4 linked regions of the Stegostoma tigrinum genome follow. The main gene of each other region encodes a partner of the protein of the gene in region 3 in a complex. Links are inferred from orthologs where the notes say so. Each region holds a gene or a part of one and is shown on either strand. Other genes may lie near its edges.

Region 1 (8,012 bases), on a different chromosome or scaffold from region 3:
GAATAATGATCCTGTGCAATAGGGTCAACAGTGATTCTGCTGAGAGAGATTGTTCCTTACCTTGGTTTTATTTGCCTCCCTCTTTGCTTCTCCAGCCATTCCCCCAGAAGTCACCTCGATCTGCTGCTTGCTCCTCGGCATCCCATCAAATACATCAATGAACAGCTGCTCCTGCACAATGTTCCAGATCTGGTTATTATGCCTCTCCTGTAAGTGACGCTTCAGGCACTGGTACGAATCCCGTGAAATCCGTAACACAAACTTACTAGTCCGAAAATCGAGCACTGTCTCGTTCCCCTGCATGTGTTCCTTCTTTGACAGGCCAGCTAACACTCGCAGGTCATCATGGTAATAACCTTCCTGATCCCCATGATACCTGGAACCAACCAGAAGACAGGTTCAGACTCCAATAGATGTAACCTCCCATACTCTCACTGTGTGGATTCAGTAGACAGCTACAGATTGCAGAAAAAGTCAACAATATTTTCAAAGTAGCTCTCCAGGATAAACTCGCGCACCACTTCCTCATCCTCACCTTGATACATGCCAGTGGAGCACAACCCTGACCCAAGAACTTGAATTCCGTCAAACTCTTCATTTACCAGGGTTCCCCTGCACCTCCTTTCCAACTTTGGCCCATGATCAGGAATGGGGTACACCATCCACCAGCGGACTGCCCAGTTTAAAAAGCTTACAAGCACAGGAGTGCATCATAAAAGACTGACACTTCCAGGAGCTGTCATGCGCAAAGAGTAACATGCTCTCCTTCAATGGATGTAGCCCGAGTGTGTAAGCAGCATGAGCCTGTCACAACCGCTAACGTTACTTGTTCCAACAGCATTGTGGCCGAAACTGATGTTTGGGATGTAGGTGATAACAGTCCATCTTCAAGACAAAGAGGGGATGACTTCTCAGTATGACATGAGGGAGAGAGGGGGAACGTAATGGGATGCAAACATGCTGGAAATCAATGTGGAAATTATCATGTAAATTGGAGCAAGTGGTGAGAAAAAAAACAGAACTCCACAGTTGAAGTACAGGGACAGACCAGCTCATCTCCGAGTCTATTCCACTGCCATTCGAGATCATGGCTGATCTTCAACAAACCCCACACACCCACCTTTGCGCCTGCCACCCAGGTTTGATTCCACCCTCAGACCCAGGTTTGATTCCACCCTCAGACAACTGAGTATGGAGTTTGCACTCTCCCAGTGTCTGCATAGGTGTCCTCCTACAGTCTAACGATGTGCAGGTTAGGTGGATTGGCCATGCTAAATTGCCCACTGTATCTAGGTATATGCAGGCTAAGTGGATTAGCCATGGGAAATGCAGGGTTACAGGTACAGTTTCGGTTGCTAGGTCTAGCTGGGGCACTCTTTGGACAGTTGGTATAGACTCGAAAGGTCAAACAGCCTGCTTCTACACTGCAGGGATTCCATGATTCTACAATATCTTTCAATAGCAAAAATCTTACCAACCAAGATTTAACATAAACCAATCCAACACCAACTGAATTTGTGGAAGAGAACTCCAAACTGTTACGATACTACTTACAGATGCTCTCCTTCAGTTTCAAAGAAGGTTCACATCAGACTTCAAACACTACCTCCATTTCTCTCTCCACAGATACTGCCAGACTTGCTGAATCTCTCCAGAAATTTCTATTTTTACTTTACGTCCCCAGCAGTACACTGATTTTATCTTAATTCCAGTCCTGACAAGCTACACTTTTTAAAAAAACGACTGCCAAATACCAGACTCATTGGCGGACTTTGTATCCTAGATTCCCCATTCAGCAAAAAGTCTCCTTCTACTAACCCAGTCATTTCTCATAGCACGTCAAAAATTTAATTCTAGGAAGTACAACCGCAGATACTGTAACCTCTCTTATTTAACCCCAGGAACCCAGATATGATTCTGGTGAATCTACAATGCACTCTTCTACCCTGTCCGGTGCAATCAATGGTCCTCACTGTATTACGATAAACAGATCTGTTGGTAGTATCCTTATTACGACCTAACCAATGTTGAATTCAAGTTCAGTACAAATCAGAATCAGGAAAGGACAAGATATTAACGATATACAGATATTGTAATAGTTATGATATTCCAGACATTGATAATAAGTTTGTGGTATTGGAGGCCCCTCACTTGTGGAAGAAATGCCGAGCTTCCCTCTCATGCTCATTGTAAACCAGCTCCAGGTAAAGATGCACGAAGACCGGGTACAGGAGAGTGGACAGCTCGGCTTTAAAGGCGTCCAGCGCCGTCTCGATGAAGCCCTTGAGGCCAGTGTAATATTCCTCGTACAGGCTCGGGTCTCCCTCATTGCTGTAGGCCGAAAGCACCGAGCTGACATCGGGCTGATGAACCGAGTCCGAACCCCTGTGGCCGGCCGTCCTCAGCAGCGACTCGTCCAGGCTCTCCTGCAGGTTGGCCTCCTTCCTCAGGATCTCCTCTGCCTCTGTGAAGTGGTTCTTCTTCAGAAACTGCAGCACTGCCAGCAGCGTCTGCTTGTCGGGCAGCTCTGGTCCTGGACCTGGAGCCGGGCCTGCAGCAGTCGCGGGACACGGAGCTGTAGCTGGACCCGCGGCCAGGCCAGGCTTATGGTTTTCGGCCGGACTTTCACTCGGCTCCAGCTTGGGGATCAGGGTGGGAGAGGGAGTGGGGGATGGAGAAGGAGCGGGAGAAGGTGTCGGCACTGGGGCTGGGGAAGGGGAGGGAGCAGGGCCTGCGCCCGGAGTTGGGGCTGTGGCCGGAGGTGGGGTTGGGGCTGCGACTGGGGCTGGGGCTGGGGTTGGGGTTGGGGTTGGGGCTGGGACTGGGACTGTGGTCGGGGCCGGGACTGGGACTGGGACTGTGGTCGGGGCCGGAGCCGGGGTTGATGTCGGCGCTGGGACTGGGACTGCGGTTGCGGTTGGGACCGGGACCGGCGCCGGCGCCGGAGCCGGAGCCGGGCCCTCGGCCTCGGCCTCGGCCTCACTTTGCGCTGCCACCGGCTCTGACACCGCCGCCATTTTGACAGCGTCTGGGGCACTTCACGACACCGCCGCACTTTATAAAGATGGCGGCTCATTTTACGGCAGTTTGGGCAAGTCACCGCCCATGGCTGTTTACGACAATTTGGGCAAAGCGGAAATCCGCTTTACGGAAAGCTGGACTGGGCTGCCCCCTTGAAGATGTTGAAATTATAACATTTAGACCAAACAAAACCCTAAATCCTGTGACTCAGATTTCAGTAGCACTGAAAAACAAAACAGAGATGTGTTCAACAGTATAAGCCTTTATACTTTAAAAAAGTATACACTCTCACAGGTAAATAAAACTTGTTAAATCACAAAATAATCCTTATCCATAAATATGGGTCAAACTGATCAAAGTTGGGACCCAAACAAATCCTTAGTGTGGCTCTGGGGGCAAATGTTGCAGGATGTAAACAGTCAACAGCACAATACTGTTGCTCTGCTAGAATCGTCAACATGTTTTCCACTATGAGAAAAATTGGTCAGTTTAAATGTCAGAATTTTGTGGAAGAGAAAATGCAATGTAATTTACAAAAATTAAACTTTTTATCTCAAAGTTACTGCTGCTGCTTAGCGATAACTGATTTAAAACATCACTAAGGAATGAAAAACATGTTCATATTGTGATAACTGCAAAATGTTACTCATTACAATTAATTAGTATTAATTATTAACTCATTCACATAATATTGGAGCAAATTTTCCTGCCAATCTTTAACACAACCTTGAAGCCTAGCCAGTACTTTAACTTGATCGGACTATTCTGAACATTTCCACTTCAGTCACTTGTGGGACATAATTTTTTTGTCAATCCCTAGTTACCCTTGAGAAGCAGGTGGTGAGCTGTCTTTTTGAACAGCTGTATTCCATCTAGTGTAGACACTCCCATATGTCATGTGTGAGGGGGTTTCAGAATTTTGATCCAGCGACACTGAAGGATTGGCGATGTATTTCCGCACCAGGATGGTGTGTGCCTCAGAGAGGAACTTGCAGGTGGTGGTGTTCCCATATATCTGTTACCCTTGTCTTTACCGGCAGTAAAGGCCTCAAGATTGGAAAGTGCTATCAAAGGAGCTTTGGTGAGTTGGCGCAGGGCATCTTGTAGATTATACACACTGCTGGCATTGTGCATCAGTGGTGAAGGAAGTGAATGTTGAAGCTGGTGAATGGGGTGTTAGTCAGGAGGGCTGCTTTTTCCTGGATGATATCAAGGTTTTTGAGTGCTGTTGAAGTTGGACTGAACCAGGCAAGTGCAGAGTATTCCATTACACTCCTAATTTGTGCTTTGTAGATGATGGAAGGGTGTTGCAGAGACTGGAGGTGAGTAGCTCACCACAGAATTTTGAGCCTCAGAACTGCTATTGTAGCCACAGTATCTATATTGCTGGTCCAGTTCAATTTTTGGTCAACGGTAATTCCAGGATATTGATATTGGGGGATTCGGCGATAGATCTGCCATCGACTGTGAAGGGATGATGGTTAGAATCTCTCTTTTTGAAGATGGGAATTGTCTGGCACTTGTGTGGTGAGAATGTTGTTTGCTGTTTATTAAAAGAGATTGGATATTGTCAAGGTCTTGATGCTTAAGGACATGGACTGCCTCAGTGCCTGAGCTGTCGTGAATGGTGCAGAACAGTGCGCAATTATCAGAGAACATCACCACTTCTGACCGTATGATGGAGAGAAGGTCATTGATGAAGCAGAGGAAGATGGTTGGGCTCGTGCACTACCCTAAGGAATTTCTAAAAAGATGTCATAGAGCTGAGATGAATGACCTCTAACAGCCACAAACATCTTCATTTGTGTCAGGTTTGACTCCAATCAGCAGAGAGTTTTCTTCTTAACTCCAGTTTTACTATGGCTCCTTGATGCCGTACTTGGTCAGTTGCTACCTTGATGCCAAGGGCAGTCACTCCCACTAGTCATGGAGCACAGGTCTTCAGTACTATTGTCGGAGCATTGTCAGTGCCCATAGCCTCTACAGTATCTGGTGTCTTCAGTAATTTCTTGATATCATGTGGAGTGAATCAAATTGGCTGAAGACAAACGACTGCCGCCTCCATAATGTCACTCACCTACACCTTACATTCTTCTTGAGCACATAAATTTAAGTTGGAATGATAGAGAGGAGGTTAGTCTATCTTCTGGTGGAATCCTCTTCTATATTTTATCAAGACTAGATTCACTTAGTCCAGTGCTGTACTCACTTCCACACACAGTCTCACACACAGACACATGCACTCACATCGCTCATCACCCAACCCCCACCTCTTTTCCAAGATGAGGAAACTTTGGTTCATCTAAAACTCTGCTGCTGTACCTTGACTCACACTTAGTCAAAAAATAAGTGGGAAAGCAAGTGGTGAGGATGACACAAAGAGTCTGCGAAAGAAATGAGGGGGCAAAAGCTTGGCAAATGGAATATAATATGAGTTATGTCCTTTGGTAGGAAGAACAGAGGGGATGAATATTATTTATGTGTAGAACGACCGCAGAAAGCTACGGAACAGTGAGAATTTGGACCCGTCATCAATGAATCACAAAAAGCTAGCATCCAAGTTCAGTGGGTAACAAGGAAGGCAAATGAAATGTTGGCCTTTATTTTAAACAAGTCTTTTTACTAAAACTATACAAGGCACTAGTCAGACAACAACAGGAATACCATGAACTGTTTTGGATTCTTTATCTAAGGAGTACTATTCTGACTTTGGAGGCAGTTCATTAGGTTGATACCCAGATGTGGAGGGACTGCCTTATGAGGAAGAGTTGAGGTGGCTGGGCATATACGCAGTGAAATTTAGAAGAATTCAAGGTGACTTTCTTGAAACATACAAGATTCTTAGGGGATTTGACAGGGTATATGCAGAGAGGTTGTTTCCCTGTGTCGGGCCAGAGGGCATAATCTCAGAATAAGGGGGTCACACATTGAAAACAGAGATGAGAAGGAGTTTCTGCTGTTAGAGGATACTGAATCTGCAAAATTCTTTACCCCAAATGGTTGTGGAGGCTGGGTCATTAAGTGTATTTGAGGCCAAGATAGACAGATTTTTAATCAGTAAGGGAATCAAGAGTCAAAGGGAAAAAGCAGGAATATGGAATTCAAAATTAATTGATCAGCACTGATGATCTATTGAATGGTGGAGCAGACTCAGTGGGCTGAATGGCCTACTTCTTCTCCTATGTCATATGTCTTATTTACCCATCAGCCCCTCTGACCACTGACAACACCCTCCATACCCATTACCCAACGGTCCCCCATGCTCTCTGAGAACACCCTTGTCTTCACTGCTCAAAACCCCATGCCAAAAGATGACAGCTCTCACTGTCCAACCTCGAACATCCCATGCCCACTGCCCAATACACCCTATGTCCAGTGACCAATCCCATGTACTGTCCATGCCGCAAACTGGCCCTCCCTTACCCTCTTGTCCAATGCCCAGGATCAGTGCCCACTGATTCTTCATGATTTAAGATGCTTATCTTGTTTAGATTCTCTCATGGCCTAGCTCCATCAATCTCTATGTAACATTCTTGACCCCTGTGCTACCACCCACAAGCTCTGAATCCAGCCCCTTCCTGGCAAAGAGTCCTTGGACAACTGGATGGGTCGGACACTTGCCATGTTGCTGTTAATTTAAAAGCTGTCTCCCACCCTGGACCTTTTCTTGCCACTTTCTTGCTTGGTGAGGTGGCAAGGGTTCAAACTGGGGTTTGTATGAAACTGGACTCCTGACCTTGTGGCACTGCCAGTAAAGGCTTTGGGATATGTTCGTGGTGTTTGCCAGAATCCAGCTGTGCACTTCCCACACTTAAATTCGATGTTTTGAAATATTGAGAGCCCTAGGAGCATATATATAAGAGAGAGAACCCCGGTGAGCTCCAGACGGTGTACTTGTGTCATGGTCTTGGGGAAGGTGAGTCACTCTATTTACTGCTTAACTTCTTACCTGGAACAAATTTCACCTTACCTTATGATTCGAAAACAATTACTGGGAGCAGGGGAAGTACTCAAGGTTGATCATTAGAGTGGCACCAAAGGAAAATCTGGCAACACCTGTCCAATAACAAAAGAACCATCAAGGAGAAGAGAGAAAAAAACACAACAATAGTGACTTGGAGTGCACTGCCTGAAAAGGCAGTAGAAGCAGATTCAATTAAAACATATTTTCTGGGCAATGGCTGATCAGGAGACTGAATCTAATTTGATAAATCTGGGGCAGGCATGATGGACCAAATAACCTCATTCTGTGCTGTATCATTGTGAGATTCCTTCACTTTATGTGAAGGTGAGAGACAGCAAATTAAGAAATAGGGAGCAGGGAGATGCAAGCTTAGGTATTAACCCTTTCCATTGACATTTTCAAAAGTGCTTTGTAATTTTATGTTTCTAGGACGGAGTGTGAAAAATGCCCTGTGAGGGAGGTGAGGTAAGAGAGACATGAAAAGGGACAGAGCTGAGGAATGCAGGAAGTAACAAGACAGAGCAAGAGAGGAGTGAAGAGGGTGAGGAGAAGAGAGTAAGGCGTGGAGGAGATAATGGGAAGGAGAGATTGAGGATTGAGGGAGATAAAGAGGAGGAGTTTGTGAGGACTGAGGGAGGTGAGGAGGAGGAGTGAAAAGTGAGGGAGGTGAAGAAGGATATGACGAGCGAGTAGATGAGCAGGACGAGGCTGAGGAGAAAGGGAGGTGAGGAGAGAGAAAGATAAGGATGGAAGATATAAGGATTGGACAAAGTAAATAGTGAAAGAGTTAAGGAGTGTGGAAGGTAAGGTTAGAGAGCGTGTGGAGTTGGGAGTGTGAAGGACAAGGGTGAGTAGAAAGGCATGTGATGAGAGAGGGAGGAGAGTGAGGAAGTTGGGGAGAGAGGGACTGATCCAGGTTTAAGATCCTCAAGGTTTGGTAAGGTAAGGGGCCAGAAAGTAATCATGGCCAGGATTTTTGGAGATGCAGAGGAGAGTTGGTGGAACACATGAGGAGAAAAGAAGCCCT
Region 2 (6,838 bases), on a different chromosome or scaffold from region 3:
ATTACTAATTTTTGAGTATACACAGGTGGTCCCTGATTTATGAACGTCCATCTTAAGAATGCTTGTACTTATGAGCGAGATTCCATAATATTAAATTTAAGGATCCGACATGCAAACATTCACTTATGCTTACAAATAGATATTTTATATTATTTCTCATTGTGTTCTCACTTACATACAAATCGACTCACGATCATACTCAGGAATGGAACAATTCTTAACCCAGGGACTGCCTGTACAGACAGTCATACATTCAAAGAAACTTCTGATCTGTCCACATTACCTGGGTAACATTTTCCACTGAGACTCTACATGTTGCGTCAGCTGACGTATATGTATCTGAGACAGAAGCCGTAGTCATTTTCACAATCTAATAGTTGCCTGAAACAAAGGTATATTCATGTTAACAATCAATAAACTGATATTTCAAACAACACCTGAACTTTCATTTTTACATATGCAATACATCAGTTTAGATTGACAAAAGCATGTTTGCATCGTGTAAAAGCAAGGCCTACAGGAACAGAAGAACATTACATATTGGTCTTTTCACTCAATGCAGCCAGCAGCAATACTTTGAATGAAAGAAACTCTTACAAACGGGAGCTAAGTGGATCATTCACACCCACCCAAAATGAAAAACCAGCAAAAACCAGAATGCATCTCAACGTCTTTGAACATTTAAATGGAGAAAAGCTGCAAGACACCACATATTTCAAAAATATAAAGAAATCACAAACTCAAGAAAAAGCAAAAGAAACCAGAAAAAAAATTAATCTTCCCACAAAGCCACTAAAATGCCAAATGGGTTTCATATCTGCCTAGCAACAAGGTTCTTCCACCTTCTCTAGTCTTCAAAAAGAATTAAATATTGAAAAAATTGCTATCATCCATTATAAGAGCAATGAAGGAGCATGTACTTTGTCATCAACCGGTGAGTGCGAAGTTCACTAGCAGAGATGCTGCATACAAAATAAGAATTAAATTATTATGGAAATACATTAAGGTGTTCCAAGATCCTAATTCTACTATGTAGGCTTGTTGTTAGCATTTAGCCCTCTATGCATTCAATAATTTGAAACAATTACCAGCTACCCATGAGAAGCATGACGGGCGGTCGAAGAAAACAAAAAACATCTCTCTTAAAACTCAGAACACTTATTTTACTATTTCATGGGAATATAGAGCCTGCTGGTAAGGCCAGCATTTGTTTCCCATCTTGAGTTGCCATCAGGATTTGTTACATTGTTGTTTGTTCAATTACAGGTGACAGATTATTGTTCAAGCCTACCTTCAGTATATAATATAGAATGGCACTTCAGTATAGTAAATTGAATTGATTCTCTGTACTTTTAACTACTAATTACACAACCTAATTACAGCACTGACAAACAGGAGGCTGAAAGAACACAGGAAGCCAGGCAGTATCTGGAGGGAAGTCAACGTTTTGGGTATTACCCTTCTTCAGGACTGGATGTGGGGTACAGGGAGCTGCAGATAAAGAGGGGAGTGGCAAGGGAGGGTAGCGGAATGGTGCTGATAGGAGATTTTTTTTTCTTTTATTTTAAGGCTGAATTACAGGGCCACTGCACCGGCATATATTGGCTATATGAAAATTGTTACTTGCTTTGAGCTAGTTAACCTTGTAAAATCATTTTACAATACCAGTGTTGAGGCAGTGAAAATATTGCCTAATTGATGCCCAATGCACCTGAAAATCCAACCACATGCTCCTTACATCCAGTGGATATGTCTGTGGCAAGGTACTAACGATCTGAAAAACCACATCCTTCCTGGATCCCACTTTGTGGCAGTGATGCAAGTACATAGGGCTAGCTGAGAGTCAAGTGCATCAGGTAAACCCTTCAAGTAGGTGATTTTCTTTCCAAGTACTTTTCCTCATCCATTATCATTCTCGATATCCAGAAATGCTGTATTCGCTTGTCCGAAATGCTCTCCCTTCGCACCACAATTAAAGTTTTGAAAAATATTTTGTTACATCGGATATGTGTTGACTGTCACATTATCTACTGAATATGCTTTTTTCATGCTCTTAATATAATATATTATTAGTTAATCTGCCATTTTCACCTTTCCTTTAAAAAAAGCTACAGAAAAACAAGGATTGAAACAGTCAGCACAGAAGAAGTGAAACCATTCATCACTTCGCAGGATGGCTTCTATTACAACTCAATGGAGTCTAAGTTGTGTGGAAACATGTTATTTTACATGCAGATAGTGTTCTGAAGCTACATACTGTGATGGGTAAAGGCTTCACTCTTTGTTCCATCTTACTGCTGCCCAGAAATCTCTTCCACTACTGTGTGGAACCAGATTTTGCAGTTTGGCTACATTATGAATGCATCTTCCTTGGCCATCAAATAGCTTCTGGCTCAGAGGCAGGGACACCACCCACTGCATTACAAGCTCTCCTTTTAAATTAGCAGACAGATCGAATTTACAGCCATTGATCATAAACCATTTCACATTTACGTGGAGCAAGAAAAACTCTAATTCATGCAATTTTAAAAGGCATTTATCTAACGTATACTCACTTTTAGTGCCTCAGACATTTAAACTGTAAATAATCGCATTTGGAAGACTTTTTTTAAGCAAAATATTTTGCTGCATTCAAAAAAAGGCAGCCGACATCGACGAATAAATTACTTCCTTACTAAATTTTAAATTTCATGAGTGCGTTAAGCTGTATGTAACTTTATAAAACTGGGACATTTATTTCTGGTTCAGGCCTGTACACTCGAGAGACTCCTGGCTGGACACCGGCTTAAAGTAAATTAAGATTTGATTTCCTTGCTTCAGGAAAATAAAACCATCCGGTGCCTAAACGCAAGCAGACTTCACAATTACGCTTGTTTTCAGTGCGGCCGGAGATTTTAGATCCGAAAGAGTCGCACGCTATCGGGATGAAAAATGATGCAGCTCGTCACCTCAGCTCAGCTCCGCCGACCCGCTTCCGCTCCTGCTCGTCGCTGCCTGTACTGCCCCCTGCGCTGGCTGAGCGGGGACTGCAGCCTGGTGCTCCCAGCCTGACACATCGCTCGCATCGGTGCCTTAAACTGAAACACATCCTTACACCTACATGTATCCTTCACCGAACGTCTCCCAGCCGCATGGAATGCTTTTGAAATGTAGTTCCTACCTTAATTTTTTTTTGTTCTCTCTCTCAGAGGGCTGTGAATGTGTGGCATCCTTTGCCACAGAGGGCTGTCAATTATATTCAAGGAGATAGATTTCTTATCATTAAGGGCATCAGGGGTTATGGTCACAAGGCAGGAAAATTGAGTTGAGGATTACCAGATTAGCCATACAGATAATGGGAACTGCAGATACTGGAGAATCCGAGATAACAAAGTGTGGAGCTGGATGAACACTGCAGGCCAAGCAGCATCTTAGGAGCACAAAAACTGACATTTCGGGCCTAGACACTTACCATTTCTGTCCTTTATCATCTATGCCCAGAACGTCAGCTTTTGTGCTCCTGAGATGCTGCTTGGCCTGCTGTGTTCATCCAGCTCCACACTTTGTTATATCAGATTAGCCATAATTTGTTTGAATGGCAGAATATATGCAAAGGGCCAAATGGCCTTCCTCTGTTCATAAGTCCCATAGGGAATAAAGGACACCAGGCAATTTGAATGGGAAGGCACAGGTATCAGCTCAACATTTAACCAGTAAGATAACACCTTCCGACAGTTCTTATTGTAGTGGCTGGAATGAGATCAACCAAGTGGGCATTATAGAATAAGAGTTCCCTGACTGGGGCTGTTAACCTGGTCTGACCAGAGGGCCCTGGCTGACAGGAGTGTCAGCGATTCTGTTCACTCTAGGAGACAGTTCTAAGCTAGCTGGGTCAGTGTTATGTACTATGCATGTGTAAATAAAGGCTGACTTGGTGACAGGATACCAGCCTTTGTGGAGCTACTTCACATACCACCTCAGGAGTGGCAATTTTTATTTTGACCCTTGAGTCCTAGACGAAGACTTAAACCCAGACACTTTTGACTTAGAGTCAAGAGTGCTTCCAACTGCACCACAGGTGACAGCAGCATTTACAGGGCCACACTGCATATATCAAGAGCATATCAGAACTGACAATAAGACTCCTGAGACCACTAGGAACCATGGTGGCCCACGAGCCCACAGCCACTCTATGACAAACACTCACATGGATTAAAGACCCCATTCCCACGACATGCAGAACTGACATGGTTTACAAAATACCATGCAATGACTGCCACAAACATTACATCAGGCAGACAGGAAGTAACCTAGCCATCAGGATACATGAACAGCAATTAGCAACAAAATGGCACAATGAAGTCTCCTTAATATCAGTACATTCAGACGATGAAGGCCATCAGTTTTACAGGACAAGATAACTATAGTAGCCCAAGCCAAACATAGACATGCACAGGAATTCCTGGAGGAATGGTTCTCCACATGTAATGCAATCAACAAACACATAGAATTGTACCCCATATACAAACACATACAGATCAAAACCAGAAATGACACTAGTCACCACAATGGACCAAACAATATAACTTCCAAGCAGAATAGAATAGCTTTGCTTCATCGGAGGGTCCACTGACAATGTCACCTAGTATGGTGATGAAATGTTTGAATGAAAACAAGCCAGCTCAGTGGACAAGCCAACAACCTCACCCACAACCCGAGCTACAGATCTTTGCCAAAGCTCTGAATTACAAAGCTCTTCACAGAGAATGAGCTCTTCTTGAAGTGCAGTCACTGTTGTAATGCAGGAAATTTGAAGAGCAGACAGGATCTCAGTTTAAGATCTCACCTAGAAGATGACATTTCACTGCACTCTCTCAGTACTACACTGAAGTGTCACCCTAGTTTTTAGTGTTTAAACTCCGGAATAGGTGTTTAACGCACAGTCTTTTGATGCAGAGTTGCTGCTAATTGGGTCATAGTTGACAATCAAAATACATTAATATGGAAAGTGATGACTGGCTTCAGTTTGTGTTCTAAGTTTGTTTCCCACAGTTATTAACAACTTTGTTTTTCTGTGTTAGCCTTGTTTTTAATTTTTAAAAAAGGGTATTAGCAGCACATTGTCCAAGAAAAACTGATGCACTGCATGAAGAGAGTGAAGTAGCATAATCAGTAGGTCAGTATGTCAGTGTGGTTAGTTTCATTTAGCATTACAAACTATCTTTTTTTTACTTTAATTGCAGTAAGAAGTTGTATGAACTTTGTTTATACACCGTCAATATTGGACAGAGTTTGAACGAGTGAATTACCTCATTGTATTTAGAGAATGATAATGAATGTCATTACTATAATGAGTTTTCAGGAACCTGGTGGCCATGAATGGCAATATTGAAATGCAAGTCTTACTTGTTTTTGTCATGATTGTTCTGATGTAGGAAACACAGCAGCTAATTTATGTGAAGCAAGCTCCCACAAACAACAAAGTAGTAATGATCTGTTAATCTGTGGAAATTGGGAAAGAAATGTTATTGGGGCATAGAATTGTACACTAGGTAAAAAGGCCAGATGGCCTATTGAGTCTACATTGACCCTCCGAACAGAATCCCATTCAGACCCAAGCCCTAACCTATAAATTCACATGTACCATGTCTAATCCACCTAGTCTACACATCTCTGAACATTACAGGGCAATTTAGCATGGTCAATCCACCTAAACTGCACATCTTTGCAGAGTGGGAGAAAACGAGAGACCTGGTGGAAACCCACACAGGCACAGGGAGAACATATGATCTCCACACAGCCACCCAAGGCTGGAATCAAACCCAGGTCCCTGGCATTGTGAGGCAGCAGTGCTAACAATGGTGCCACTGTGCTGCCCCTACACCCCTTTGAAATAATGCCATCCAAATTTTTACATCCACCTGAGGAGGCAGCAAGTCTATAGTTTCAAAGCCAGGGCAGGGAATCCTACAGTGATCACAACTGCACTACGTTTCATTAAAAAGCCAAGACCTTCAACAATGCAGCTCTCTGGGACCGTATGAAAAGTACCAGTCTTGATTTTTCTGCTTAACTACTAGAGTGGGACATCCATCCACAAGTCATTTCTCAGCCTTGGCTGACACCTACCACCAAAAGTTATTGTTTAAAGCAGAGCCAGGAAATTTATGGACATCATAACTGCCTAAGGATATTTTTGAGCAGAGATGAAGATTTATTTTGCAAAACCCCTGAATTACTGCTGTAGAATATGCACTATTTTGTGTCTTTGCAAAATTCAGTCTCAGTGAGAACACAAAACTGACAGTGACAGTTTGATTGTCTATTGTGATGATACAAAGATAGGTGGACAGTCAGGTAGTACTGAGGAGGTGGGGAAGCTGCAGAAAGATTTAGACAGTTTAGGAGAGTGGTCCATGAAATGGCTGATGAAATTCAATGTGAGTAAATGTGAGGTTTTGCACTTTGGAAAAAAGAATGCCAGCATGGACTATTTTCTAAATGGTGAGAAAATTCACAAAGCAGAAATGCAAAGGGATCTGAGAGTGTTGGTCCAGGATTCTCTAAAGGTTAACTTGCAGGTAAAGAACGTAATTAAGAAAGCGAATGTAATGTTGTTGTTTATCTCAAGAGGGTTGGAATATAAAAGCAGTGGTGTGCTTCTGAGGCTTTATAAAGCTCTAGTTAGCCCCCATTTAGAATACTGTGTCCAATTTTGGGCCCCACACGTCAGGAAGGACATACTAGCCCTGGAGCGTGTCTAGCGGAGATTCACACGAATGATCCCTGGAATGGTAGGTTTAATGTATGATGAATGGCTAAGGATCCTGGGATTGTACTCATTAAAGTTTAGAAGTTT
Region 3 (6,929 bases):
GAGGGATAACTTTTTCATGCAGAGGGTGGGATGTGCATGGAACAAGCTGCCAAAGGAAGTGGAGGAGATGAGTACAATTACATTTAAAAAGGCATCTGAAAGTGTATATGAATAGGAAGTGTTTAGAGGGATATGGGCCAAATGCTGCAAATGGACAACGTCAGATTGGGATGTTTGACTGGCGTGGATGAGTTGGACCGAAGGGTCTGTTTTGCGCTATACGACACTGACTCTATAAGCGCAAGATGTACGGTGAAAGCAGTACTCACCTAAAGTTTTCTTTCCTTTTAAAGGTTATGTTCAGATGATACTTGTTCAACATAATTCATAATTTTAAACAAATTTCCCATGGGAATCTAAGCTTTACTACTGTAGCTGAAAATACTCCAGATGCAAGTCAAACTTTACAACTGCAAAATTTAAGCGATCAATCTAGCTCTTCTATTTGTTTAAACAATTATAGCAAAAAAGCTTCATCTGCTGCTCAGTGCACTTTTTTGAAGTCAGCGTGATGATAACCACGTCTGATTAACTTGGTATTGATTCCAGTTTGACAATGCAGTAGCAAATGCAGGAACTACAAGTGATAATTTTGTAGACATTAGTCATAATTCCACAATATTAGATCTTAAATCACCAATTAGTACCTCTTGGTCACAGGTGACAAAAGGGAAATTGTAATACCACATAAGCAAAAATAATTTAAATAATTATTTTAATAATCCTTATCAGCTCTATTCGGTGTTATAGTCCACTCATTTCAGAGCAAAACTTCAATATTAACATGCAATTCATCAGCTGAATCAGTTATCTGTCAGTAAGCACAGCAAGTATTTGTTACTTTTAATTGATTCTTAAAAAAGTCTTTGCAGTTTTGTTCAACTTCTGAAGGCTACGGAAAGTGCTGGTGAATATTTATATACTGGATTTAAAGTTTAATAGTTGTACATTGGCAGCAGTGTTTTGCACACCGAAAAATAAAACTAACTTTACCAACTGCTAAGATTACTTACTCACATAACAGAAATTCATCAACACAGCCACGATACTGCAGGAGGTAAATGCAAGTTTCCACTACATACAAGCTATACAAGCCCTATAATGATCAATGCTTTAACGTGAACAAAGAGCTGGATCTGCAAGTGATTTCACTCTGATCACCTGGAAATGAGTAGAATTACAACTGTAGACTGTAATGCCATTAACATTATATACACAAGGTTAATTGTTCAGTATGTTAAAATTAAATTAACTTCCACTGTGACACTATCCTTTTATATTCTGCTAGTCAGAAATGCTAATTTATGAAATTGTTAGGCTGTATTATAAATCATTTGGAAAATACAAACATTTTTTAAACTGCCTATAATTTTGCGTCACTGTAGTCTATGGAGACAGTTGACAGCCCATTGCACATTACGTTTTCCCACTTTGATTTAATTGCCTCTGACAAAACTATAAGTAAATATTCTAAAGACTAGCATTAAGCTGGAACAGAAAATAAGTAATTTTTCAAATTTCTTAATAGTACAAGAAAGCACAAGCCACTGACCAATATGATCTTATTCTCACCTGGGGGAATTTGAATATTTTGAATGTTTGGTTGATGCTGTTGGGGTTGAGGGAGACGGGGAGCTATAACTTGCGGTGTTATTGTTGTCCTTGGGCCAGTGTTCACTGCTGCTGTCCTTGCCATAGTTTGGGCAATTGTGTTAATGGTTCCTTTGCCCATTCCAACTGGCGTACCAACTGATTGAGTGGAAATTCCTCCAGGATTGGATGCCACATTCTGAAGTCCACTTTGTATCGTCTGACCTATTACCATAGTACTTGTGTTTGACTGATTGTTTAAAGTGGTCACCGCACTACCAGTTGTTGATGTCAATATTCCTGCACTGAGAGTCTGCTGTGGTGTCTGTATAATTGTTTTGGGCTGTAACTCAGATTTGATAACCTGTCCACCAGTGGACAAAGAAGCGTTGCTTGACAAACTAGAAGACTGACTGTTTAAAGTCAGAAGTGAAGTCTGATGTGGAGCTCCAGTGCCACTAGGTGCTGACAAGTTAGTTACACTAACTGTTGAGTTCAATATAGTACTACTACCATTTGGTGCTGATGCAACTGGCAGAACTGGGCCACTGTGCGCTGGTGGTCTCACCAATGTCACTGTGGGTCCTGCTGCCTGTGATGAAACAACAGTTGAAGGAACATTCTGTGTGCTGACAAAAGACGTCTGAATAACAGTGTAGACAGAACTAGAGACTGGCAAAGACACTGCTGGCAACCCTGTATTAACTGTGTTTTTTACAACAGATCCAGGTCCATTATTGACCACCGTAACAGCTGGCAAGGTAGTTGCAGCTGCTGAACAAGTAAAAGTGGTGGCATTTCCTGCATTGTGAGAGTTTATCGCCATTCCATTATTCCCATTAAGAGTTTGTACGTTGGAGGTGACAGTTTTCACATGGTTGGACACTGGGGTTGCCATTGCACTTATCACCACCGATTTTCCTTGACCGATGCTGCCTGAAGCTGATGTTTCCGACGATCCTGTCACTGCCGCTACTGCCGCTGTACTCTGCTCCTGTTCTACTCCTGGAGCCTGGGACCTTGCATTATTGATAACAACACTTTGCTGTGCCCCACTCCCCGCCGTCGTACAGGGCAAAACCCCACTGCCAAATGTGTTCTGCGAATTAATCTGTGCGTTTTTACCCTCAGAGCTCTCGTCCACTTTGATTTTGGCTGCGGTGGAAACCTCAGCTCCTGCCAGTCCCATTTTGTTCTCTGCTGTTTGCAGCTCAACATTATTGCTCACCATCCCGGGTGTGTTTTCCACGTGATTATTCACCACCTGCGCCCTTATTCCGGCCTGTTCCGCCGCGTTATGGCCCGTAGCCGCCAACTGGGACTCCAGGGAGCCGACTAAGTCGCTCACCACTTTCTCATCCACGTCTGAGAAGAACACATCGTCCAACAGATCTGAAGCCCCCGCCGCCATCTTAAGGCAGAACTCTTGTTTGACTCGGACCGCGCATGCGCACCGGGCCGTGTTGTTGGGGGTGACGTCAGAAGTGGGTCGGCAGCCGCCCTCCGTCATTGGTCAGCTCCCGGTTTAAAGCGCCGGCGAATGAAGGAACGCGTTATTGGGCTGTAGAATGACTGTGCCGAGCGGGCTGGAGAGGCGCCGCCGAGCAACCACACGAAGGCAAACGCTTTAATCCCGCTTGGTCCTGCCCGGGAGCCTGACATCTCTGACCGCCTTGATGGTTTCGGCGAGATTCGCGTCAAAAGCGACCGTTTTCCGCGACTTTTCTGATTTTATCTTTGTACATTATTGTGTGCAAGATGGCTCCCTGGCTTCAGATGCTAAAGGGCGCCACACCTGGTGGTGTGTGTGGAAACAGCAACTTGTCTCATCCTCTTTTTCAGAGGACATGTTAAACCTGCTTTAATTTTAATTCTACAGGGATCTGTCAGCGCACAACTGGACTAGGCGCTAGTTTGTTCTCCAATCGAATAACTTTTATTCGAAAGAATAAACGGATGGAGCTTTCGGTTGACTTTATCTCTCCTGTGATTAAAAAAGTTAACGTTTCGAGTTACGTGGCTAGCTTAGTTCTGAAGAGTCACTGGACTCGAACCATTAACTTTTCTCTTCACAGGTGCTGGCAGTCCTGAAGCTTTTTCCAGTAACCTCTTTCTTTGCTTCTTACGTAGTAAGAACTGCATATGCTGGAGTCAGGTAGCTGTGCAGCTGGAAGAACACAGAAGGCCAAGCATCATCAGAGTAGGAAAGCTGACGTTTCGGTTCGGGACCTTCCTTCAGAAAATCGGATCTTCGATATCCGTAGTTCTCTATTTCAGTTTTTTTTTGCTGCTTGGATGTTGTATAACTTGCTTTATCAGGATGTGGTCTCAGATTGGGTTATTGTTTTTGCTTTAAGTCTTTTCTGGCACATAATGTTCAAAACCACTTAGGAAAAAAGCTGTTTGAGCATTAGTTTGTTCTGTGTTCTGTACAACAAGCTTCAGTTTAAAATTATGCTACTTATTTTCAGTCTAAGATTAGAGCTCTCCCATATCTTTGGGAAGAAGTCTGCCGTTGGCTTGAAAGGTAAGCAGTCTTTATTTCTTTGGTGCTTGCTAGTATTTAGACTAAATATTGAATGTCTGAAGTCTAAAGGCAGTGTTCTGATTTAGAATGCTGTAGTATTGTTCAAAACTACACTAATGTAAAACTAGTTACTCTAAACATCTTTCAGCTGTCAAGTGAAAGCTGTCCTTGAATGGTTTTGTGATTATGCATAAAGCAATGGACTGTTCACATTTATGGGAAACTTAACTGTGGCATCTTAAAAGGAAAATGTTTCTGATAATATCACCTTGATTTTAGTAAATAAGGGAGACCAATTGATGAAGTAGACAGAAAAGCAAAACTTTTCTGACACCCCAGCTTATAGAACACTGGACTTTAAATAGAGTCACTTTAAAAAGGATATTGTAAATCAGTGAGAAGCTCATCAAGTCTCCATGAGCATGGGTCAGAACAGAACCTGGTCATTTGGCCCACGTTGTCTATGCTGACTAGTTCTCTAAACTAGTCCCTCATGCCTCAACATTTCCCATCAATGGACCTGTCCAAATGTCTCCAATTGTAACTGTACCTGCCTCTACAGCTCCTGACTACTCATTCATGTTGTGCCACTCTGGGGGGGAAAGTCACCACTCACCTTAAAGCTGTGCCCCCTCTAATATCTGACTACCCTGTCTGCAGGGGTGGGAAAGACTGCAACTATTCCTATCCATACCTGGCATGATTTTTAGCCCTGTAAGGTCTCACCGTAGTGTCTGACACTCCAGTGGGGGAAAGGGGAAACCAGCTCTTCTCTCTTCTTCCCCCCCCCCCCCCACCCTTACTCAAACCTCTGTTTTACTAGCATACTTCAAGTATGCAAAAAATCAGCTTCCTGGCATGCTTCCCATAGCAGGACAACCAGAATTGGGTGCAATGCTGCAGATGTAATGTGTTGTACAGATGCAACATGACATCCCCCCCCCAAACTCTTGTACTGTATGCTGTGACTGAGGGTGAGCATGCCAGACTGTCTTCAGGACTTTGTGCTGCCACTTTGAAAGAACTGTACTCCTGTACCTGCAGGTCTCCTTTGTCAGATCTCCCCAGGATACTACCATTAAGTCTCTGTGGCTTAGCTTGCCAAAATGCAACACCTGTTTGTCTGAATTAAACTATCTGCTATTCCTTGGCCAACTAGTTTGTTGATCAAGGTCCTGTTGTACTGAGGTAACCACCTTCATTGCATGATCACAGAAATCTGTGATCTGCAAACTTGATCATGCCTCCTGTTCACTTCAATCATTCCTATAAATCAGAACCAGTAGACCCAGCAGTAATCCTTCCAGAACACCAGTAGTCACAGGCCTCTAAACAACCCTGTACCACCACCGTCTCCCATCAAATGACTTTGTATCCAATTGGCTCTTTCCCTGGGTCCTATGTGATCAAATGTTACTAACCAATCTACCAGGCAGAATCTTGCCAATGTAGACAGCAAAAAACTTGCTGCATTTGCCTATCTTGGTCATGTCTTCACTACAAGCTCAAGCAAATTTGAATGCTCCCAGCACAGCCATGCTGTTTATCTTCCTCTAATCAGTCATTTCCTTTCCAAATGCATAGATCCTGTCCCTCAATCCCCTTCAGCTCACCTGTCTAGTTCCCTGGCTTTTGCAGCCTTTGCTAAAAAAGCACAACACTAGCCACCTTCTGTCTTCCAGGACCTTGCCCATATTTGTCAATGATACAAAGCTCTCTGCTCTGCAATGCCCTTGGGTCCATTTGATCTGGTCCTGGGGCTTAACCACCTTGATGCACTATACCTTTACCTCGTGTGAGCTAAACTTTAAAGACACCATGAATTTGTGTACCCTAGCTTCCATGTTCTCCAGTGTAAACAAAAAACTGACTAAATCAGTTTAGGATCACATCCAGCTTTTGCAAATCCATGCTGAATGGTTTCCTTATCTTCAAGGGGCCCTAGTATCTTCCTACATACAAATTTTGTAGAATTTCTCTTGAATCCAAAGAACCTCATCAATGATCACCCATTTCTGCCTATATAGCATCACTGGACAATAATTAAGAGTGCCCCAATTTAAACCCCCCCTTCTATCCTCCCTACAGCATCTACACCCAAAATTGAGCTGCTAGCTTTCTCCCTCAGGCTGTTGTCCCAAACTAAGTTTCTAATGAAAGAATAGGTTACTTGTCTTGGTCTCTTTCTAACCCTGTGTAGAAACTGAAGATGTTGGTATGGTTTTAAATGGGTGTCTTCTCGAGGGACTATGCTGATAAGTGAGTGATTAATACTCACTAAATGTGAGGATCAGCACCACTGTTTACAGCCTGTCTGTAGTTTAGAGCCTGATGAAATTTTACCCTAGGCTGTTAAAGTTTCAAAGTTGAGCACTGACTGCATGAGTCCACTAAGTGATCCAGCAGATTGGAGCTCTGCCTCTCTTGGAAAAGCAGAGGGCTGACTGCTGACCAGTCAGCAGCACATTGGTGGAAATAAACTTTTATTGGTGTTGAGATTGCAAACTGACAGTTCAAAGGTGTGGATTAATAGCGATCAAGGAAAGACAGCACTGAGGGTGTTGTAGTTTGTGCTTGTCTGCATGCTTTTTAGCAAAGCTTTAACTTGATGTAACCTAACTCCAAGGGGATGTAGTTAACTTAGTATCTAACTTGCTGAGGAACAGGAACCAAAGCTTGAGTTTTTAATATGGAAGGCTGTTTCCAGTGCAGTTGCAGGATTCAGTACCTCTAACAATTTGGCTGCTATGAGGATAGCTATAAACTGCATGGAGACATAAATGACTGGGTGGATAGAAGTAACAAATGGAAT
Region 4 (7,319 bases), on a different chromosome or scaffold from region 3:
GGATCAAGGAGGTCACTGAATGGCTGGATGGAATCTGAAGGGAGAAGGTGACAGTCAGAAGTTGAAGTTTATATAGATACGAACGACAGGTAAAAAGAGGGATGAAGTTCTACAACAACAATCTAGGTAGCTACGTTATAGATTGACAAACAGGTCCTTAATGGTTGCAACCGCTGGATTACATCTGGTTCCACGTGTTAGTGAGCATAGGAATAGGCAGATCTCACCGTTAAATGGGTGGCTAAAAGAATTGGTGCAAGTCTAGAATCTTTAGATTCCGCGATGAGTGGGTCTATTTCCAGGGAAGGTGGGACCTGTACTAGTCCAATGGCTTCCACCGGACCCAGAAACTGGACCGATATCTGTGTGGTGTGGTGGGTAGGTGAATGAGTGGCTGGGGATTGTAAATTGCCCAGTGGGTGATATACAGTCAAATACAAAGGAAAAATCCAGTCTGTAAGACACACACACATATATAGTAAAGTTAAGGCACAAAGGAGCACAAGGCTGGATGGCATTTATTTTAATGCAATGAATTTTGCAAATAAGGCAGGTGAGGTGAGGATGATTGATTAATATATAGAAATATGCTCTCGTTCTTAACACTGAGGTATGGTTGTGAGGGGGGCAGGACAGACAGCTCAATATTCTGGAGTATAGAATCGTCAGGCTAGTTGAGAGCATAAGAGTAGTCATAACACTAATCAAGGAGTCAATTACTTGTCATTACTGTAATAAGGAGGGATGATATCTTAGAAGGTTCCTCAAATAAGACCACATGGGCAGAACTTAAAGAAGGGAAATCACATTTCTGGGAGTGTACTATACACCCTCAAACAGTAAAGGACTACCAAAAGAATACATATATCGGCTAAATCTCAAGAAGTGTAAAATAATAGGGCACAGTAAAAGGCAATTTCAAGCTTTCCTATATTACCTGCGATAGACAAAGTGTGAAAGGCTTAGAGGGAACAGAATTCTTAAAATGTACCAGGATATTTTTTAAAAGCGGGCAGTTCTCAACTTAATTTTAGGGAGAATATCCAAGCACGTGTGAGTAGCAGAGCACTTTGGTGATAGTGACCATACCTCAGTGAAATTTAAGGTTGTTGTGAAAAATGATAAAGATGGCCCAGAAGTAAAAGTTATGAACTGAGGGAAGGCTGACTTTAACATAAGACAGGATCTGACCAAATAGGAACAAAAAACAAAGTTGCTGGAAAAGCTCAGCAGGTCTGGTGGCATCTGTGGAGGAGAAAAGCGTTAAAATTTTAGGTCTGGTGACCCTTCTTCAGAACCCTTCTGACCAAATAGGACTGGCAGCAACTACTTCTAGGCTAGTCTACATTTCAACAGTAGGAGTCATTCAAAAGTGAAATAATGAAAGTAAAAGTACAAACAATTCAAGGCCATCTTGGATATCAAGCAATGTACACTATTGGTCAAGGAAATAAAGGAAGCTTTTGGCAGGTACTAAGTGCTCAAAACAGTGGAAGCTTACTGCTTATTTTGTACTCCATCATTTAAACTCCACTTCACTTAAATGGCAATGCCGAAGACAAAAAAATTAAGTTAGTATTAATCAATGTTTACTTTACAGGGATGTTCAGCTGCTAACACTAAAAAATAACATATTTTTTAAAAAACTGCAGATGCTCTAAATCAGAAACAAAAACAAAGCTGCTGGAAAAGCTCAGCAGGTCTGGCAACATCTGTAGGAAAAAAAAAGTTAACGTTGTGGGTCCAGTGACTCTTCCTCAGAACGGTTCTAAGGGTCACTGGACCCGAAATGTTAACTCTGTTTTCTCCTCCACAGATGCTGCCAGAGCTGCCGAGCTTTTCCTGATAATAACGTGCTCAGTCAGATTGGAGGTATCAGCTGAAATCTCAAAATCCATGAAGCTTGTCAATTGTAAACAACAAGCGCTACAAACAGGAACATCCAGGCTTGGTGAAAATGTTAGAAAGAGAGACTGAAACAGGCCACTTGGCCCTTCGAGCCAACTCCATTATTCAGGATGATCTGGGCTGATTTCCTTTCTGGCCTGTGTCCTCCCACACTATCCCAATATCCCGTAATACTCGAAAGATCCATTAATGTCAGCCTTCAATTGACAGAGCATCCCTGGCTGTGTGGGAGGGGGAAGAGAATTCCAAAGATTCTCAAACCTTTCCCGGTGAACCCTCCTCCAGACCCTAAGACACAGCCGATATTTGGGGCTGCAGGGAATCTGAAGGGGGAGGGCGAACAACCAGAGGGCGTGGGGAAAAGTCATCTCAGCACCCAACCTGTCAAGGTACCCCTTTGGGAACAATATGTTTTCGCCTGGACCGCCTCTCCATCTTCTGAAGTCCAGGGAGCTAGAGGCCTACAAGTGTAGAACGCGGGCTGGCTGTTCAGAGACAGGCTGTTTGGGTGAAGACTGTGTGTGCTGTAATGAGTGAGGTTGTGTCTGTGCCCGATGGATGGAGATCACAGGGTCTCAGGTACTCACACAGCTCGCTGTAACGATGGCAGCCCCGGGTCAGCTGCTCGATGTACCTGTTGAGCACGTCGGTGAGGATGTCGCAGGCCGTGACCTGCACCGAGTCCCATCCCAGAGCCTGGCAGATCTGAGCCACCGCCACCCGCAGCAAGGCCCTGCCGTAAGCGTCGCACATCCCGGCCTCAAAATACTGTTAAAATAAAACAGCTAATACCCAACCGGCCCCCCCCCCCACCAACTCTGTCCTTCAAGCGCGGCGGGTCGGCATGGCCTTATTCTGGGACTCCGTCTCTCTCTCTCTCTCCCTCCCTCCCTCCTTCATATCACCACCATCACTCCCCGGCCCAGCCAACTGACAGCACTGCTCCCGGAGCCGCCGCCGCCGCCGCTCGGCCCCTCACTCCCGAGCCGCCATGTTGTGCCCCCGACGCCCGCCGGCTCCTTGGACTCTCGGACACGACCCATCGAACGCCGGCAGCTCGAACGATCGAGGCAGCCGCATCGGCTCGTCAGGCCTGTCACTGTGGTTGCCCGGGCGACGGCGATTTAGAATAAATTGCCATCACCGCGCAGGGGCGGGGAAAGGAAGCGGTTTGCGGGGAAGAGGGGGAGATGGGCGGCCGGGGGGGGGGGGGGGGGGGGAGATGGGCGGCCGGGGGGGGGGGGGGGGGGGGGGGAGATGGGCGGCCGGGGGGGGGGGGGGGGGGGGGGGGAGATGGGCGGCCGGGGGGGGGGGGGGGGGGGGAGATGGGCGGCCGGGGGGGGGGGGGGGGGGGGGAGATGGGCGGCCGGGGGGGGGGGGGCGGGAAGAGGGGGAGATGGGCGGCGGGGGGGGCGGGAAGAGGGGGAGAGGGGGGGGGGGGGCGGGAAGAGGGGGAGAGGGGGGGGGGGGGCGGGAAGAGGGGGAGAGGGGGGGGGGGGCGGGCGGGCGGGCGGGCGGGCGGGCGGGCGGGGGCGGGGCGGGAAGAGGGGGAGATGGGGGGGCGGGGGGGGGGGGGGCGGGAAGAGGGGGAGATGGGCGGCCGGGGGGGGGGGGGGGGCGGGAAGAGGGGGAGATGGGCGGGCGGGGGGGGGCGGGGGGGGGGGGCGGGAAGAGGGGGAGATGGGCGGCCGGGGGGGGGCGGGGGGCGGGAAGAGGGGGAGATGGGCGGCCGGGGGGGGGGGGCGGGGGGGGCGGGGGGCGGGAAGAGGGGGAGATGGGCGGGCGGGCGGGGGGGGGGGCGGGAAGAGGGGGAGATGGGCGGGCGGGCGGGGGGGGGCGGGAAGAGGGGGCGGGGGGCGGGAAGAGGGGGAGATGGGCGGCCGGGGGGGGGGCGGGGGGGCGGGGGGGGGGGGGCGGGAAGAGGGGGAGATGGGGGGGCGGGGGGGGGGGGGGGCGGGAAGAGGGGGAGATGGGCGGCCGGGGGGGGGGGGCGGGGAGAGGGGGAGATGGGCGGCCGGGGGGGGGGGGCGGGGAGATGGGCGGCCGGGGGGGGGGGGGCGGGGAGATGGGCGGCCGGGGGGGGGGGGCGGGAAGAGGGGGAGATGGGCGGCCGGGGGGGGGGGCGGGAAGAGGGGGAGATGGGCGGCCGGGGGGGGGGCGGGGAGATGGGGGGGCGGGGAGATGGGCGGCCGGGGGGGGGGGGCGGGAAGAGGGGGAGATGGGCGGCCGGGGGGGGGGGGGGGGCGGGAAGAGGGGGAGATGGGCGGCCGGGGGGGGGGGGCGGGAAGAGGGGGAGATGGGCGGGCGGGAAGAGGGGGAGATGGGCGGCCGGGGGGGGGGGGGAGATGGGCGGCCGGGGGGGGGCGGGGGGGAGATGGGCGGCCGGGGGGGGCGGGGAGATGGGCGGCCGGGGGGGGGCGGGAAGAGGGGGAGATGGGCGGCCGGGGGGGGGCGGGAAGAGGGGGAGATGGGCGGCCGGGGTGGGGGTGGGGGGAGATGGGCCGCCGGGGTGGGGGGAGATGGGCCGCCGGGGTGGGGGTGGGGGGAGATGGGCCGCCGGGGTGGGGGTGGGGGTGGGGGGAGATGGGCCGCCGGGGTGGGGGTGGGGGTGGGGGGAGATGGGCCGCCGGGGTGGGGGTGGGGGGAGATGGGCCGCCGGGGTGGGGGTGGGGGGAGATGGGTGGCGGGTGGCGGCGGGGGTGGGGGTGGGGGAAGATGGGCGGCGGGGGTGGGGGGAGATGGGCGGAGGGGGTGGGGGGAGATGGGGGGCGGGGGTGGGGGGAGATGGGGGGCGGGGGTGGGGGGAGATGGGCGGCGGGGGTGGCGGCGGGGGTGGGGGGAGATGGGCGGCGGGGGTGGGGGGAGATGGGCGGCGGGGGCGGGGGTGGGGGGAGGTGGCGGCGGGGGAGGGGGGGGATGGGCGGCGGGGGTGGGGGGGGATGGGCGGCGGGGGTGGGGGAGATGGGCGGCGGGGGCGGGGGTGGGGGGAGATGGGCGGCGGGGGAGGGGGGGGATGGGCGGCGGGGGTGGGGGGGGATGGGCGGCGGGGGTGGGGGGAGATGGGCGGCGGGGGCGGGGGTGGGGGGAGATGGGCGGCGCGGGTGGGGGGAGATGGGCGGCGGGGCGGGGGGAGATGGGCGGCGGGGCGGGGGGAGATGGGCGGCGGGGCGGGGGGAGATGGGCGGCGGGGGCGGGGGTGGGGGGAGGTGGCGGCGGGGAGGGGGGGGGATGGGCGGCGGGGGTGGGGGGGGATGGGCGGCGGGGGTGGGGGGAGATGGGCGGCGGGGGCGGGGGTGGGGGGAGATGGGCGGCGGGGGAGGGGGGGGATGGGCGGCGGGGGTGGGGGGGGATGGGCGGCGGGGGTGGGGGGAGATGGGCGGCGGGGGCGGGGGTGGGGGGAGATGGGCGGCGCGGGTGGGGGGAGATGGGCGGCGGGGCGGGGGGAGATGGGCGGCGGGGCGGGGGGAGATGGGCGGCGGGGCGGGGGGAGATGGGCGGCGGGGGCGGGGGGAGATGGGCGGCGGGGGCGGGGGGAGATGGGGGGCGGGGGTGGGGGGAGATGGGGGGCGGGGGCGGGGGCGGGGGGAGATGGGGGGCGGGGGCGGGGGGAGATGGGGGACGGGGGCGGGGGGAGATGGGCGGGGGCGGGGGGAGATGGGGGACGGGGGCGGGGGGAGATGGGCGGCGGCGGGGGGAGATGGGCGGCGGGGGGGGCGGGGGGAGATGGGCGGCGGGGGGGGTGGGGGGAGATGGGCGGGGGGGGCGGTGGGAGATGGGCGGGGGGGGCGGTGGGAGATGGGCGGGGGGCGGCGGGGGGAGATGGGCGGCGGGGGCGGGGGGAGATGGGCGGCGGGGGCGGGGGTGGGGGGAGATGGGCGGCGGGGGTGGGGGGTGATGGGGGGCGGGGGCGGGGGCGGGGGTGGGGGGTGATGGGGGGTGGGGGCGGGGGAGGGGGGAGATGGGGGGCGGGGGTGGGGGGAGATGGGGGGCGGGGGTGGGGGGAGATGGGGGGCGGGGGCGGGGAGATGGGCGGCCGGGGGGGGGGGCGGGAAGAGGGGGAGATGGGCGGCCGGGGGGGGGGGGCGGGAAGAGGGGGAGATGGGCGGCCGGGGGGGGGGGGCGGGGAGATGGGCGGCCGGGGGGGGGGGCGGGAAGAGGGGGAGATGGGCGGCCGGGGGGGGGGGGGCGGGAAGAGGGGGAGATGGGCGGCCGGGGGGGGGGGCGGGGAGATGGGGGGGCGGGGAGATGGGCGGCCGGGGGGGGGGGGCGGGAAGAGGGGGAGATGGGCGGCCGGGGGGGGGGGGGGGCGGGAAGAGGGGGAGATGGGCGGCCGGGGGGGGGGGGCGGGAAGAGGGGGAGATGGGCGGGCGGGAAGAGGGGGAGATGGGCGGCCGGGGGGGGGGGGGAGATGGGCGGCCGGGGGGGGGCGGGGGGGGAGATGGGCGGCCGGGGGGGGGGGGGGAGATGGGCGGCCGGGGGGGGGCGGGAAGAGGGGGAGATGGGCGGCCGGGGGGGGGGCGGGAAGAGGGGGAGATGGGCGGCCGGGGTGGGGGTGGGGGGAGATGGGCCGCCGGGGTGGGGGGAGATGGGCCGCCGGGGTGGGGGTGGGGGGAGATGGGCCGCCGGGGTGGGGGTGGGGGTGGGGGGAGATGGGCCGCCGGGGTGGGGGTGGGGGTGGGGGGAGATGGGCCGCCGGGGTGGGGGTGGGGGTGGGGGGAGATGGGCCGCCGGGGTGGGGGTGGGGGGAGATGGGCCGCCGGGGTGGGGGTGGGGGGAGATGGGTGGCGGGTGGCGGCGGGGGTGGGGGTGGGGGAAGATGGGCGGCGGGGGTGGGGGGAGATGGGCGGAGGGGGTGGGGGGAGATGGGGGGCGGGGGTGGGGGGAGATGGGGGGCGGGGGTGGGGGGAGATGGGCGGCGGGGGTGGCGGCGGGGGTGGGGGGAGATGGGCGGCGGGGGTGGGGGGAGATGGGCGGCGGGGGCGGGGGTGGGGGGAGGTGGCGGCGGGGGAGGGGGGGGATGGGCGGCGGGGGTGGGGGGGGATGGGCGGCGGGGGTGGGGGGAGATGGGCGGCGGGGGCGGGGGTGGGGGGAGATGGGCGGCGGGGGAGGGGGGGGATGGGCGGCGGGGGTGGGGGGGGATGGGCGGCGGGGGTGGGGGGAGATGGGCGGCGGGGGCGGGGGTGGGGGGAGATGGGCGGCGCGGGTGGGGGGAGATGGGCGGCGGGGCGGGGGGAGATGGGCGGCGGGGCGGGGGGAGATGGGCGGCGGGGCGGGGGGAGATGGGCGGCGGGGGCGGGGGCGGGGGGAGATGGGCGGCGGGGGCGGGGGGAGATGGGCGGCGGGGGCGGGGGCGGGGGGAGATGGGCGGCGGGGGCGGGGGGAGATGGGGGGCGGGGGTGGGGGGAGATGGG

What was found.
Region 1: taf4a (region 3) and taf5 share a complex: the UniProt entries of both Homo sapiens proteins name them as parts of the TFIID basal transcription factor complex. The link is inferred for Stegostoma tigrinum from reciprocal best matches to the Homo sapiens genes TAF4 and TAF5.
Region 2: taf4a (region 3) and taf8 share a complex: the UniProt entries of both Homo sapiens proteins name them as parts of the TFIID basal transcription factor complex. The link is inferred for Stegostoma tigrinum from reciprocal best matches to the Homo sapiens genes TAF4 and TAF8.
Region 4: taf4a (region 3) and taf3 share a complex: the UniProt entries of both Homo sapiens proteins name them as parts of the TFIID basal transcription factor complex. The link is inferred for Stegostoma tigrinum from reciprocal best matches to the Homo sapiens genes TAF4 and TAF3.

Annotation. Positions count from the first base shown.
Region 1 is NC_081373.1:15,636,672-15,644,683, reverse strand, and holds the start of taf5 (transcription initiation factor TFIID subunit 5), read right to left. Parts: upstream 3,018-8,012; coding exon 2,152-3,017; intron 377-2,151; coding exon 61-376; intron 1-60. Other genes in the region: inactive pancreatic lipase-related protein 1-like, read left to right, coding at 3,913-4,102. UniProt on the Homo sapiens protein: The TFIID basal transcription factor complex plays a major role in the initiation of RNA polymerase II (Pol II)-dependent transcription.
Region 2 is NC_081374.1:14,876,044-14,882,881, reverse strand, and holds the start of taf8 (transcription initiation factor TFIID subunit 8), read right to left. Parts: upstream 3,012-6,838; 5' UTR 2,949-3,011; exon of another isoform or gene 2,556-2,948; intron 382-2,555; 5' UTR 362-381; coding exon 284-361; intron 1-283. UniProt on the Homo sapiens protein: The TFIID basal transcription factor complex plays a major role in the initiation of RNA polymerase II (Pol II)-dependent transcription.
Region 3 is NC_081372.1:17,927,103-17,934,031, forward strand, and holds the start of taf4a (transcription initiation factor TFIID subunit 4), read right to left. Parts: upstream 3,009-6,929; 5' UTR 3,002-3,008; coding exon 1,573-3,001; intron 1-1,572. UniProt on the Homo sapiens protein: The TFIID basal transcription factor complex plays a major role in the initiation of RNA polymerase II (Pol II)-dependent transcription.
Region 4 is NC_081378.1:7,658,577-7,665,895, reverse strand, and holds the start of taf3 (transcription initiation factor TFIID subunit 3), read right to left. Parts: upstream 3,005-7,319; 5' UTR 2,662-3,004; coding exon 2,496-2,661; intron 1-2,495. UniProt on the Homo sapiens protein: The TFIID basal transcription factor complex plays a major role in the initiation of RNA polymerase II (Pol II)-dependent transcription.